Mus musculus: one gene and its partner. The protein of the gene in region 1 purifies or fractionates together with the protein of each later gene. This does not show direct contact. Links are inferred from orthologs where the notes say so. Each region holds a gene or a part of one and is shown in the gene's direction. Other genes may lie near its edges.

The links.
Region 2: the proteins of Hnf1a (region 1) and Pcbd2 purify together in Homo sapiens (affinity purification with mass spectrometry; 4 studies listed by BioGRID and IntAct, with this or other methods). This does not show direct contact. The link is inferred for Mus musculus from reciprocal best matches to the Homo sapiens genes HNF1A and PCBD2.

Annotation. Positions count from the first base shown.
Region 1 is NC_000071.6:114,967,155-114,973,731, reverse strand, and holds the start of Hnf1a (hepatocyte nuclear factor 1-alpha), read left to right. Parts: upstream 1-2,669; 5' UTR 2,670-2,887; coding exon 2,888-3,213; intron 3,214-3,694; exon of another isoform or gene 3,695-4,989; intron 4,990-6,577. UniProt on the Homo sapiens protein: Transcriptional activator that regulates the tissue specific expression of multiple genes, especially in pancreatic islet cells and in liver. Binds to the inverted palindrome 5'-GTTAATNATTAAC-3'.
Region 2 is NC_000079.6:55,724,642-55,731,186, forward strand, and holds the start of Pcbd2 (pterin-4-alpha-carbinolamine dehydratase 2), read left to right. Parts: upstream 1-2,726; 5' UTR 2,727-2,731; coding exon 2,732-2,833; intron 2,834-6,545. Other genes in the region: Txndc15 (thioredoxin domain-containing protein 15 precursor), read left to right, coding at 1,026-1,222.

The DNA of each region.
Region 1 (6,577 bases):
GTTGCGAGCCACCATGTAGCTGAGGAATTGAACCTGGGTCGGTCCTCTGATAGAGCAGCCAGTGCTCTTAACTGCTAAGCCATCTCTCCAGCCCTGACTTCGTTATTTTTTTAAATGTGTGTGCTGGGGACAGAATTTATGTGTGCCAGGGACGTGCTCTACTAGTGAGCTATGTCTCTAGCCCCTTTAACGTTTCATCTTATTTCTATCTTAAAATTTAACACCGTTTGTCAAAAATAACACCCTTTCACACAAGACATTTCAAAATTTCTTGATAGCCACATGTGGTTGGTGGCACGATTGTTGGTAGCCACATATGGCCTTTGCTGAGAACGAGCACCTTACATGGAAAGGGACTTGTGGGGGAAGGGGGCGTGGTCGCCTGTCACATGCTTGGCTCTCTCACTGCATTCTTGCCCGCTGCTGGCCTGGAGGTTGTGGTCTCCTCCTTTGCCTCCCCCCCACTGCAAAACTTGACCCTGGCTCCAAAGAACCTTGAAGATTCTGGAAACTGCCGAGATTAGGGGCAGCTCTCTCCACCAGGTAAAGGACATGGGGGAAGATAAGGGCCAAGCTCCCTGGGGCCCCGCCAGGATGAGGGAAGGATGGACCTGTTCCTAATGGAAATGTGACACTTTACTTACAGTGGTTTTTTTTTGTTTTGTTTTGTTTTGTTTTTAATTTTTTTGGTTTTCCAAGACAGGGTTTCTCTGTATAGACCTGGCTGTCCTAGAACTCACTTTGTAGACCAGGCTGGCCTCCAACTCAGAAATCTGCCTGCCTCTGCATCCGGAGTGCTGGGATTAAAGGCGTGTGCCACCACGCCTGGCCAGTGTTTTTAATGAGCAATTAATTTATAATATGTAGCTCAGGCTGGCCCAGAACTCCTTGTCCATGTGATATATTTCTTTTGGTATTTTGTTTATTTGTTTTTGTTTTTGTTTCTCTTTTGTTTTGCTTTTCAAGACAGGGTATAGCCCTGGCTGTCCTGGAACTCACTCTGTAGACCAGGCTGGCCTCAAACTCAGAAATCTGCCTGCCTCTGCCTCCCAAGTGCTGGGATTAAAGGTGTGCGCCATCACCGCCTGGTGACGTATTTCTTACATGAATGAGGATCGAAAGCACATATTCACATAAAAAAGTGCATGTGGATGTTTCTAGAAGCCTTGCTCACTGCAGCTAAAACGTGGGCGGAACATAGGTAATTAGCTGTCTATGGATGCACCGGAAAGTGCCTGGTCTCCTTGCAAAAGTTCCCCACCCACCATTCACTATCGAGGGGATAAAATGAGATCTGCGCTCTGGATGGAGTGAACTTCCGGCCTCCATGACTGCCAGAGGCGGGGCTAGAGACCTGCATAGGAATGGGCTGCTCAGGAGAACAGTTTCTTTAGGATGATGAAAGTGTTTTAAATTGATCGATTGGTGCGCTGCATGCTGGGATATGCTTATGGCTGCTAACAGCTGCTGCATTTCAAAAGGCAAGAGGGCTGGGCAGGTGACAAGTCAGACTGCCTGGGTTCCACAGAGTGGAAGAGAGAGATAGCTGATTCCTGCAGTTGTTCCCCGACCTCCACACCCAAGCTGTCACACATACACACACTCTCGGGAACACACACACACACACAAAAAGATTTAAAAAATATATAAATGCTTTCATTAGGTAATACTGACAAAAGTAATACTTGAGAAAAATTAAAATGGTGTATTTGGGGCTGGGGTTCTGGCTCTTGGTAGAGCCCTTGCCTTGAGTATACAAGGCCCTGGGTTTGACCCCAGCAAGACTAAAAACTGGCTGTGGTACGGGTCTGTAATTCCAGCACTTGGGAGCTAGAGGTAGGAAAATCAGGAGTTCAAGGTCAGCCTGAACTACATCGTAAGACTGTCTCAAACAAACAAACAAACAAACAAACAAAAAACCCCAATACATATGTGTGCGTGCACAGACACAGAGAGATACACACACATACACACACACATAGATTAGATATACACACACATAAAATTAGATACACAGACACATACAAGACACAGAGACATACACAAACATAGATTAGTTATACACACACATATAGATTAGATACACAGATACACACAGACACACACACACACACAGACACACACACACAGGACACACACACACACACACGTTCTGGTTCGGATCACACAATGATAGGATGCAATACATTATAACCCAGTATCCTCAACACAGAAGTCTGAAGTGCTAAGACAACAGGGGTTTTTCCCCCCCTGGGAAGTCTGATGTTGGGCTAGGACTGAGGGTGCAGTGACCCACTCCAGGAAATGTGACCTGATTCTGCCCTGGAGAACCGGCCCAGTGGCCCAGAGCTTCCTGCTGTCCCAGCGGCCCAAAGAAACAGGCTTTTAAAGTTCTCCTGTGCCAGGCTGAAAGCATCCTGGAGAGTGGGACCCAGCGCCGCACCCAGAGGCCTCCTGGCTCCTGCTGCCTCTAGCCCTGCGCCCCTGGCCCCTCTCCACCTCCCCCACCCTCCCTTCTGCTCACTCCCAATTGCAGGCCATGACTCCCGGTCCCGGTCCCTCTCACCCGCCATGAGGCCTGCACTTGCAAGGCTGAAGTCCAAAGTTCAGTCCCTTCGCTAAGCGCACGGATAAATATGAACCTTGGAGAATTTCCCCAGCTCCAATGTAAACAGAGCAGGCAGGGGCCCTGATTCACTGGCCGCTGGGGCCAGGGTTGGGGGCTGGGGGTGCCCACAGAGCTTGACTAGTGGGATTTGGGGGGGCAGTGGGTGCAGCGAGCCCGGTCCGTTGACTGCCAGCCTGCCGGCAGGTAGACACCGGCCGTGGGTGGGGGAGGCGGCTAGCTCAGTGGCCTTGGGCCGCGTGGCCTGGTGGCAGCGGAGCCATGGTTTCTAAGCTGAGCCAGCTGCAGACGGAGCTCCTGGCTGCCCTGCTCGAGTCTGGCCTGAGCAAAGAGGCCCTGATCCAGGCCTTGGGGGAGCCAGGGCCCTACCTGATGGTTGGAGAGGGTCCCCTGGACAAGGGGGAGTCCTGCGGTGGGAGTCGAGGGGACCTGACCGAGTTGCCTAATGGCCTTGGAGAAACGCGTGGCTCTGAAGATGACACGGATGACGATGGGGAAGACTTCGCGCCACCCATTCTGAAAGAGCTGGAGAACCTCAGCCCAGAGGAGGCAGCCCACCAGAAAGCCGTGGTGGAGTCACTTCTTCAGTAAGGACCCCAACCTGTCCCCAGCACCCAGGAAGGAACTCATAGCGCCCCATTCTATGCTCCTGGCAAGCTTCACTTCCCGTCTAGGGGGCCTTAGGAGCTGTGGTCTTCAGGCTGGTGGTTAAGGGCTTCTTGCCGAACCTACCCCTCTGTTTGGCCCTACATACCCCGTATCCGTGGGCCACCTGTTTGCAGTCCGGCCTTTAGGAAACAGGGACAGGCCTGAGGTCACTTTGAAACAGAGGACAAAGGAAAGCCAGCCCCAAGAAAATGGTTGGAGAACTAGTGGGTGGTAGAAATCCTTCCCCAGTGTGGTCGTTTGTGCTCCCACAAATTCCACCTTCTTGGCTGGGGGGGGGGTCAGATCCAGGTTTGGGGCCCCAAAAGCCCCTGAGGAGGCCGGGCTGATGTTGGGCTTTTAGGGGATTTCCTGATCCGCCAGGGCCTTAAGCATCTGGCAGGGTACGCTTGGGTTTCTTACCTGGGGCAGATGGAGCTGAAGGTGGCAGTTTCCCTGCATGGCCAGGTGCTGCTTGCCCCTGACCCCAGCCTGGTCAGATAGCAGGGTTAGAGGCCTCCCCATACCAGACCCCCCTCTTCTGTTGTCTGGCTCCCCATCTCCTGGAGTGCTGAGTGGGTCCCGATTTCAATGCCTCCCCCGTCTCTCTCCTCAGCAAAGCCGTTCTGGTTACTAATTACCCACGCACGCCATTATTTCTTTTGTTTTATAAATTTATAAATAGCAAAAGGCTCTGATAAGGCCTGTGATCATTAACTTGTCGGGACGGTGGCGGGGAGATGCCCATTTGGGGGTGGAGAACGAACAGGAACACCAAAGTGAGGGAAAGGTAGCTTGGGGGCTGTGGGGAGTACTACCACCCCCAATTCCCCAAGCCTCCACAGTTTCCCTGAGATTATCGCCCGGCACGCTATTTTCTGTAGGGATTTCTGCTGTGCCTAAATCCCCATAATATAGAGATAACCGCCCCCCCAGAAGGAAGTGGTTAATAAACACGCTTTACAGTAGGGAAACTGAGGCTTAGACAGGGAAGGCGCCGTGGAGGGGCCTGAGGGCTGGCTGAGGAGTTTGGGGACAGTCTCACAAGAATACTCCAGAGGCAGCCTTTTTTCTGTCCAAGGTCCTGATTCTGACTTGGGGTGGGGGAGGGCTGGTGGATCCCGGCATTTCTGGAAGTGTCCAGAAGCCTCCCTGGGCCTTGGGCAAGGGGCAGAGGAGCAGTCAGGCCCCCTGACTTGGCAGAAAGTGGAGGGCAAAGGGCTGCCTCACCGCAGGGGAGGGGCAAAGGGCCGAGTATTGCCAGAACCAGGGCACAAGAAACCTGGATAGGGTGGAGCTGGGCCTGACCTGTCTTGGGGCCCCAGGTGGGGCTAGGGGCTTAATATGAGGCTGAGGGGCCAGGGATGCCAAGGGTCTTCTTACCTGGCTAGGTGGGACCTCTTGATCAGCAGCCCTCACGGTGGGGGCAGTGGGGGCTGGAGGGGAGCCTGGTCCAAAGCAGCTGGAACAGAGGTCAAAGTGCTCCCTGCAGGGGAACAGGCAGAATCCTGGAGGCAGAGGGGACAGGGGCGGTGAGGAGGATGAGATGGGAGAAGAGGGCTGGGGGAGTTGGGAGGGCAGAGGAGCCAGGAAAAGAGAGGGTCTCTCAGCAGCTGGGAGAAAGGGGCAGGGGAGAGAGGCTGAGCGGGGAGGAGGCTAGAGTGCTGTCCCTCCCAGGTTGCTTTTCTTTAATGCTAACAGCGAGCTATTTGCTTTCCATTTAAATTCGAGATGTTGCTATAAATTATCAACCAGCTCCTTGTTCCTGCGGAGTTTATAACTAACTACCCGGGTTACTTATTGTTCAGGTAACAAAGGGGACCTGAAAATGTCCCCAGGGACAAAAAGTGGGGCCTCTAGTTTCAGGACCAGGGGTGGGGGTGGGGGGGACCCTCTGGGGAGAGGGCTGGAGGACCCCCATGAGGGCCTGGCTAGTGGGGAAGTTGAGGCTGGAAGAGGCGGTGGGAAGGACTAACTCCCCACGGGAACTGTTGATTCCAAGGTCTACCTTTGGGAGAGGGAGAGGTGGGTCTGGGGTCTCGGATCCCACCCCCACCCCTTTTGCATCATGTGTGAGGCCACGGCAGACACCTCAGCTCTCCTCGCAGAGCTCCATCCTTTATCTAGTGTGTGACCTTGGGCAAGACCCTTTTCTCCCCCTGCACCAATGCCAGCAGGTAGACAGAGTAAAGGCAAATTCTCTATCTTAGTTCTAGTTCTGTGACTTCCCCTCCCCCCAGCTTCCCTAGTTCGATCCATCTATCGCTCCTTATCCCCTCTTTTGCGCCCTGATGCTGGCTTTGCCGGTTCTGGATGCGCACACACTTTGGTTTCCGCCTAGCATTGCCTACCTTAGTCTTTCTGCTCGGGCGGGACCCCTTTCTCACTTCCTCCTTGGCTCTTAGCTCCTTGGCTTCTGTCTCTGCATGAGGGCTGAACCCCAGCTCCCCTTTGCTGTTTCTGCCTGCTTTCTTCTGACCACTAATTGTCTCGTTACTTTATCTGTCTCTGTGTTCATTCCTTGTCCCCTGGTGTGAAAACATCTTGAGGGAAAAGTTTGTGATGTCACCACATACCAGGCATGAGTGAGCGAGAGCCTAAACTTCCCCTCGCACACCTCCTACTCCTCCCTGGGGAAGCACTTGGGACCCAGAGTCCTATCCTGGATGCCCTTGCAGGACCTTCCTATCCACCAACTGCTTAAACCCCAACCGTGCTGTTTCCTGATGCCCTCAGCCCCAGCCAAGCAGCCTCAGGGTTCTCCCAGCCAGGAACTCAGCAGCCAGGTGGCAGGCAGGATGCTTCAGCGGACAGTGGCTTGCCTTGGTTCCCACGCCAGCTTTGCAGCCAGTTAGGTGGGCACTGTCCCTGAGTCCCAGTTTCTTCTGCAGAATGGTGAAGACAGCACTCAGCCACAGGTTCAAGAGCATGGCACACAGCTAAGCAGGATCACATTTGAATGGTCCCATTTTACAAATGAGCAGAGGAAGGCTCAGTGAAGCAAAGGGACATCCTTAAGTAGTAAGACCAGACTTGGATGTGTGTGATGGCTTCATCTATGTCTGCACAGTGCTCTCGAGGTCCATGTTATCTCGGCATGTTTACTACCGCACCCCCAGACATTCTTACTGCTTGGCTTGATGGGAAATTCTTTCGCATGCCAGCCTTTGAAATTCACTGGGGCTTAAAGATGTACTGAATTCAGGTTTCCCTCTGGACAGTTTCTAAAACATACACACACATGCTTGCATGCATAAGTATATACACATGTATGCACACACACACAGGGACAATCATATACATGCA
Region 2 (6,545 bases), on another chromosome or scaffold:
TGTAGAAATAACATCCGGGGGAGGAAGGCTTTTTTTTTTTTGTTTTGTTTTGTTTTGGTTTGGTTTTTTGAGACAGGGTTTCTCTGTGTAGCCCTGGCTGGCCTGGAACTCATGAGGATCTTTGTTAGTTGCAGCACTGCAGCTAGCTATTGTGATTATAAACTTTAGCTGAATTGTTGGGCGTGCTTATGACTTAGTTATTTTTATTATGCTGAGTTCCATTTTTTAATCCATTTGAAGAAGTTGCTTTAATTCCTTAGTGTTTGCCAAAACATATGGCCCTATTGTTTCTTCCTTGTAAAGGCTTGATTGTGGTGAGTGGAAGAACTGTGTTCCTGGGAAACTCCTCTTTCTCACAGCTGTCTAGCCGTGACTTCCAGCCTCCCTCTTCCCCCTGAGGGGCACTTACTAGAAATGAGTGCAGATTGGAACGCTCCTCAGGGCATGGTGTTCTCATTTCTTTCTGACACCAAAGAGCAAAGACTCTCCTTATTTCAGGTTATCTCAGAGTAACTGAGTGCCTTAGGGTTGCTGGGAATTCTGAGCCTCATGCTGGGCCCTGATTCACCAGTCCACTGGGAGAGAAAGCCATTGTGTTTGGTGATTGCAGAGGAGTTCTAGGTGCCTGGCATCTTTGATCACTGTCCAGTGGTGGGTAACTGTCTTCCATGAACTCATTTAAAGGCATCTTGATAACCTGTGGGAACTTCTGAGAGTAGCTTTATTTTGTTGAACTTTGGTCTTAAGAGAACAGAAGGTGACTCTTAAGAGTACATTGACCAGAAAAGCTCCAAGGAGTCAGAAATTCTAGAGTTTTAGCTTTGAAAGGCTGGAAGGATTCCCGATCCTTTGATGTGGTGGGAGGAAAGAAAATCACACTGACACACAAGTGAAATCCTTCCAAGATATGCTTGAGATGGTGTTTATTTTAGGGTCGCTTGTCATTTTGCATGCCGTGCATCATACTTCAGACAAGCCTCAGATGTGTTTTCTTTCTGATTTGAAACAATTAATTTCTCTTTCAGGTATAGAAGCCAAGAAAAATGTGGTGGTAACGCAGGCTGACCAGATGGGCCCTCTCCCCAGCACTTTGATAAAGACTGTGGATTGGTTGCTGGTGTTTTCCTTGTTCTTTTTAATTAGTTTCATTATGTATGCTACCATCCGCACTGAGAGTATTCGGTGGCTGATTCCAGGACAAGAACAGGAACACGCAGAGTAAAGACAGAACTGAACTGGAACAAGAGGGGTCTCAGCCCCTCCTTTGTGGACTTAGCATTACAGTCGCTAAATGTGTGGACTTGCAACGGAAATCAGATTCAAGAATCATGTTCTTGTTGGACTACTGAAAAGCTGAAAAGATTTCATATAAATGTGTTTTTCCTATGACAACTAGCAGGTACAAAAATGTCCACTAGAATTGACTGTTGTTGCTTTTTAATACTTGAACATAATGAATTTCTTTTCTAGTGTCGTCAAACAGGAAAGTGTTGTCTCAGAAGAGGAGCTAAGATGGGAAGTATGGGCTAGGACGGGAAGTGCAGGTCTACTACAGGACCAGGTGAAAAATAAAGTCACTGAAACAATTCAAAGTGGTTTCGCTTGTTTCTGGGAATGGCAGACTTTAGGAGAAACTCCTAATTCTAATTAAAACATGTTAATTCTGTGCTAGAGCACAGACATTGCCCAGTCATATACTAGCACACAGCTAGATTGAGATCCAAAGGAAGTTAAGAACCCTGTCCTTGCCTGGAGGTTGAGTCTGGTCTAGTTTAGGACACAGCAAAGAGATGACATGGGCCGCTGAGATGGCTTAGCAGATAAAGGTGCTTGTCACCAAGTGTGAAGATCTGAGTTCGATCCCTGTGTTCCACACGGTGGGAGGAGAGAACTGGCAAATTGGTAATATTAATGTGCTAATTTAGAAAAACTAACAGGATAGTGCATGGTGACACGTCCAAAATCCCCAGCTTCTGGGAGGTGGAGATGGATGTTCCAGGCCAGCCTCTGCAACTCTACCTGGCTTCATGAAACTGTCTCAGGAAAGGAATACAACAAAGTTACCTAGTAAAAAAACCAAAATGAGGGGGCTGGAGAGATGATTCAGTGGTTAAGAGCACTGACTGCTGAGTTCAAGTCCCAGCAACCACATGGTGGCTGGCTCAAAACCATTTGTCATAAGATCTGACGCCCTCTTCTGGTGTGTCTGAAGATAGCTACAGTGTACTTACATATAATAAATAAATAAATCTTTAAAAAAAAAAAAAAAAACAAACCCAAAACCAAAAAGATACAAATCGAGCTAAAAGCTGCAACATTTTACTCAAAACTCAGCACTAAGTTAAGCCCCGCCCCTACCCCCCCCACCCAGCATGGGTTTTAAAATGAATTTTATTGTCAGTTACATCGCAAGAAAAAAAATGACAAAAGAATAATAAAGATCAATATACACACATAGGACCTGCATGTAAGGGAACAGAGTTGTCTCCACCCGTCCTGGGTGGGTAATGCACTTGTGCATGCAGCATGGTCGAGCTGCAGAGAGGAGCGAGCTCAGCGCGGCGTTCCGGGTCGCGGCAGCCGGGTCTTTAAGCCCTGAGCACAGCAGCGGTGGCCCGGCGCGCAGAGGGCGCTCGGTCTGCAAAGAGTTCCCGCGGGCGCGGCGGCCATCCCCTTCGGGGGCCTTCGGTGCCTGCGCCGCGTCAGGCAGCACGCCGGGCAGCCCGGGACCATGGTGGCGGCAGCGGCGGTGGCTGTAGCGGCGGTGGGAGCGCGTAGCGCGGGGCGGTGGCTGGCGGCGCTGCGCAGCCCGGGCGCGAGCAGGGCGGCCATGGTGAGTGCGGCCCGGGCGAGCCACCGGGCCTTCGTTCCTTCTGCTGCGTGGGGGCGACTGCGCGCGCAGACCCGCAGCTCACACGCCATAGCCCCCGCGCGGGGGAGGACGAGGCTGGGAGACATCCGTGAGTTCGAGACCAGCCAGGGCTCCGTAGTGGACCCTGCCTCAAACAAAACAGAACACCCAGACAGCTTCTGCCGTAGTTTTTGAGCGTGCTCACCGGAAACATTATCGTGGGAAAAAACAAATCCAAATGTGACGTTTAGTTGCGAAGCCATTCTGTGGGCTGCGAGCAGTCCTGGGGTGACCAGGACCTAAGTGACCAGCTAACCGTGTTGTTCTTGGTCAGGGGGCTTTAGAAGAGTTAGTAACCCCTCCACGCCCTTTTCCCGTTTTTGAAGGGCACATCGATTTTTTTTTCCCTCACCACTTTTAAAGAGGACATTTCGTTTTCTTACTCTGTCAGATTTTAGAATTTTGCCTGTGCGTTGCGGCTTGTAATTCTTACATCTGGCGAGGCTGAGGCAGGAGGATTACGGCGCAGCCGGCGAGGAGTGCTGGGAGACCGTCTGAGGTGTACTTTGAGAGTGTGAGGGGTAGAGGGGAGAGAGAGTTAGCCGAGGGTAAGTTTTTTTTAACACGCAGCTCCATCTAGTGGAAAATGCAGCATGAAACTCACCGTTTCCTTTACGGGCGCTCACTAGAGCCTATTTGACAACGTTTTTATGAAGAACTCGTAGACATAATTTATTTTCCTGTAAAATTTCTATAATGAATTTCCCCAAATAAATATTTTTCTTATATTACACAGTAGAATTGTTGAAGTCAGAAAATTATGCTGATAACGTCCATTGTTTTTGACTAATGACTTTAGAGATTTTTTTGTTTCCTGGTGTAATCCAGGACTAGTCATTGCATTTGGTTAACATTTTAAAAATTAATTTAATTAAAATAATTTTCATACAGATGTATTCAGGTACACTAAACTCTGCTCCCTTTCCTACCTGATTCTTTTCTTCCAATAAAAGAAGGAATGACATTTCATTTTGCTTTGTTTTTAATGGATGAGTTTCTTGTAGCTAAGGCCGACCTTGAACTCAGATACATTCCTGCTTCCACCTCCCAAGTCCTGAGAACACAAGCCTGTGCCACCACCCTCGATGTGAAATTGCTTTACTATAAAACATGTAAACTAGCTCAGATTTCTGTACAACTCGATTGCTGCAACCTAGGTGAGTTTTAGGGCCTGCTCCTGCCTAAGGTGCTGGTGACCTTACAAAACCATGGTGCCTGGGAAGGAATGAGTAGACAGATTGATTGGAATGGCTGCTGTGTGTCAGAGTCTGTTTTGGGCACCATCACATTTACGACCTTTCCCCCTCCTTTCAGCTCTTCCTCCCTTCCTCATCCCTGTCTTTCCTTCCACCTAATAATGGGGATGTAGACCAAGCTGGCCTTAAACACAGAAATCCCCCTGCCTCTTTCTCCTGAGAACTGAGACTAAAGCATATACTACTGTGCTTAGTGAAAGATCTCTCTCTCTTTTTTTAAAGATGTATTTATTATTATATATAAGTACACTGTAGCTGTCTTCAGATGAGCCAGAAGAGGGCATCAGGTCTCATTATGGGTGGTTGTGAGCCACCATGTGGTTGCTGGGATTTGAACTCAGGACCTTCAGAAGAGCAGTCAGTGCTCTTACCCGCTGAGCCATCTCACCAGCCCCGTGAAAGATCTCTTTAAGTCTTTCAAAGACCAAATATTTCATCCAAGCATTCAGGAGAAAGAAGCAGGTGGATCTGTGAGTTCGAGGCCAGCCCGGTCTACAGAGAGAGCTCCAGGACAGCCAGGGCTACACAGAGAAACCCTGTCTCGAAAAACAAAATAAAACAAAACAAAATAAAACAAAACAAAAAAACCTAACCCACCAACCAACCAAACCATTTCTTAGCATTTCGATACTGTCCAACCCTGTATAGACTCAAGGAACCTGGAAGCCAGAGAGGCCAAGCTTAGCATGCAACAGTAATAAGTTAGAAAGCCAATCGCTTACACTGTCTACCTCCTGTGGTTCCTTACATCTCCCTCCATGTCTGTGAAAAGCATTCCCAGACTGTTACAAAGGACTGTGCTGGAGGCTGGAAAGATGGCCTAGCAGTCAAGAGCACTGGCTGCTCTTGCAGAGGACCTGGGTTCCATTCCAGTACCAACACGGTGGCTCACAACCATCTGTAACTTCAGTACCAGGGAGTCTGATGTCCTCTTCTGGCCTCTATCAGCAACACAGTGCATATATATGCCCAGGCAAAACACATAAAATAGAAGTAAATAACTCTTTAGAAGATAAAACAGTTAACAAACAAGCAAGCAAAGGGTTCTGTTGAAGGCACGTCTTTGCAGGGCCCTTGGTGTTATGTAGCCGAAGCGGCCCCATTCCAGTCCTTTCCACGATCCCTGTTGTTGGGTGGACATCCTGTATGAGTGAGCCTGCATACTTTGATCTCCATAAGCTTGTGGATAGCCTAGCATCAGAGAAAAACAGTGCCTTCTAGAGCCTCTGGATCACACAGCACAGTCCATTCTACAATCTCTGGATGACCACAGCATAGTCTATTCTAGAACCTTTGGATCACCACAGCACAGTCCATTCTAGAGCCTCTGGATGATCACGGCATAGTCCATTCTAGAGCCTCTGGATGATCACGGCATAGTCTATTCTACAGTCTCTGGATGATCACGGCAGTCTATTCTATGGCCTCTGGATGACCACAGTACGGTCCATTCTACGGCCTCTGAATAACATTGGCATAGCCCATAGTGTGCTTCATGGTTTTCCTTGATGTCAGATCCCTGTGAAAATCTAACAGTTGTTTCTTTCCTGAAATGCTCTGAGTGGCCTTAAGTAGTTAAGTGATAGACAGGTGGGAGTGTTTTCTATAGTCGACCCCTGTGTGGAAAATATCCGAACTCCGTGGGTTTGGTGGTGTTTATCTATGATTCTAGTACTGAGGAGGCTGAGGCAGGGTGAAACCTGGGCTAGTGAGAACTTACCACGGCTACCCAGCCAAAGACACACGCACACACACACACACACACACACACACACACACACACACACACAGAGAGAGAGAGAGAGAGAGAGAGAGAGAGAGAGAGAACTCAGAACTTTTCTTTTTCTTTCTTTCTTTTCTTTTTTTTTTTTTTGAGACAAGATTTCTTTGTGTAGCCCTGGCTGTACTAGAACTTGATATGTAGACCAGGCTGGCCTCAAACTCAGAGAGCCACCTGCCTCTTTCTTCTGAAAGCTGGGATTAAAGGCGTGTGCCACCACGCCTGGCTCTTAATTCTGAACATTAAGTGCTTATTTTGGATTCCAGGCCTTTGAATGTTTTTGCTTACGATCCATTGTCATTCTTCCCTTTGTAGTGGGAGGCAATAGCTGCTGAATCAGGGAGAACAAACTAGAAAACGGGCGTTGGCACAGGACAAGTTTTTGTGCCTTGACGGTTTTAATGTCTGTGATCAGAAGTTTGAGGAGTCCAGAAGCAGAAGTGAGTTGCAGCTTCATATATGGAATCTGGAGCATGCAGCTCTGTCTTCCACCCCCAGGGCCTTCGGCATTAGCTCAGTCTTTTCAGAGAGAGTCTAGATGAGAATGTCTAACTGGGCTGGGCAGTGGTGATGCACACCTTTAATCCCAGCACTCGGG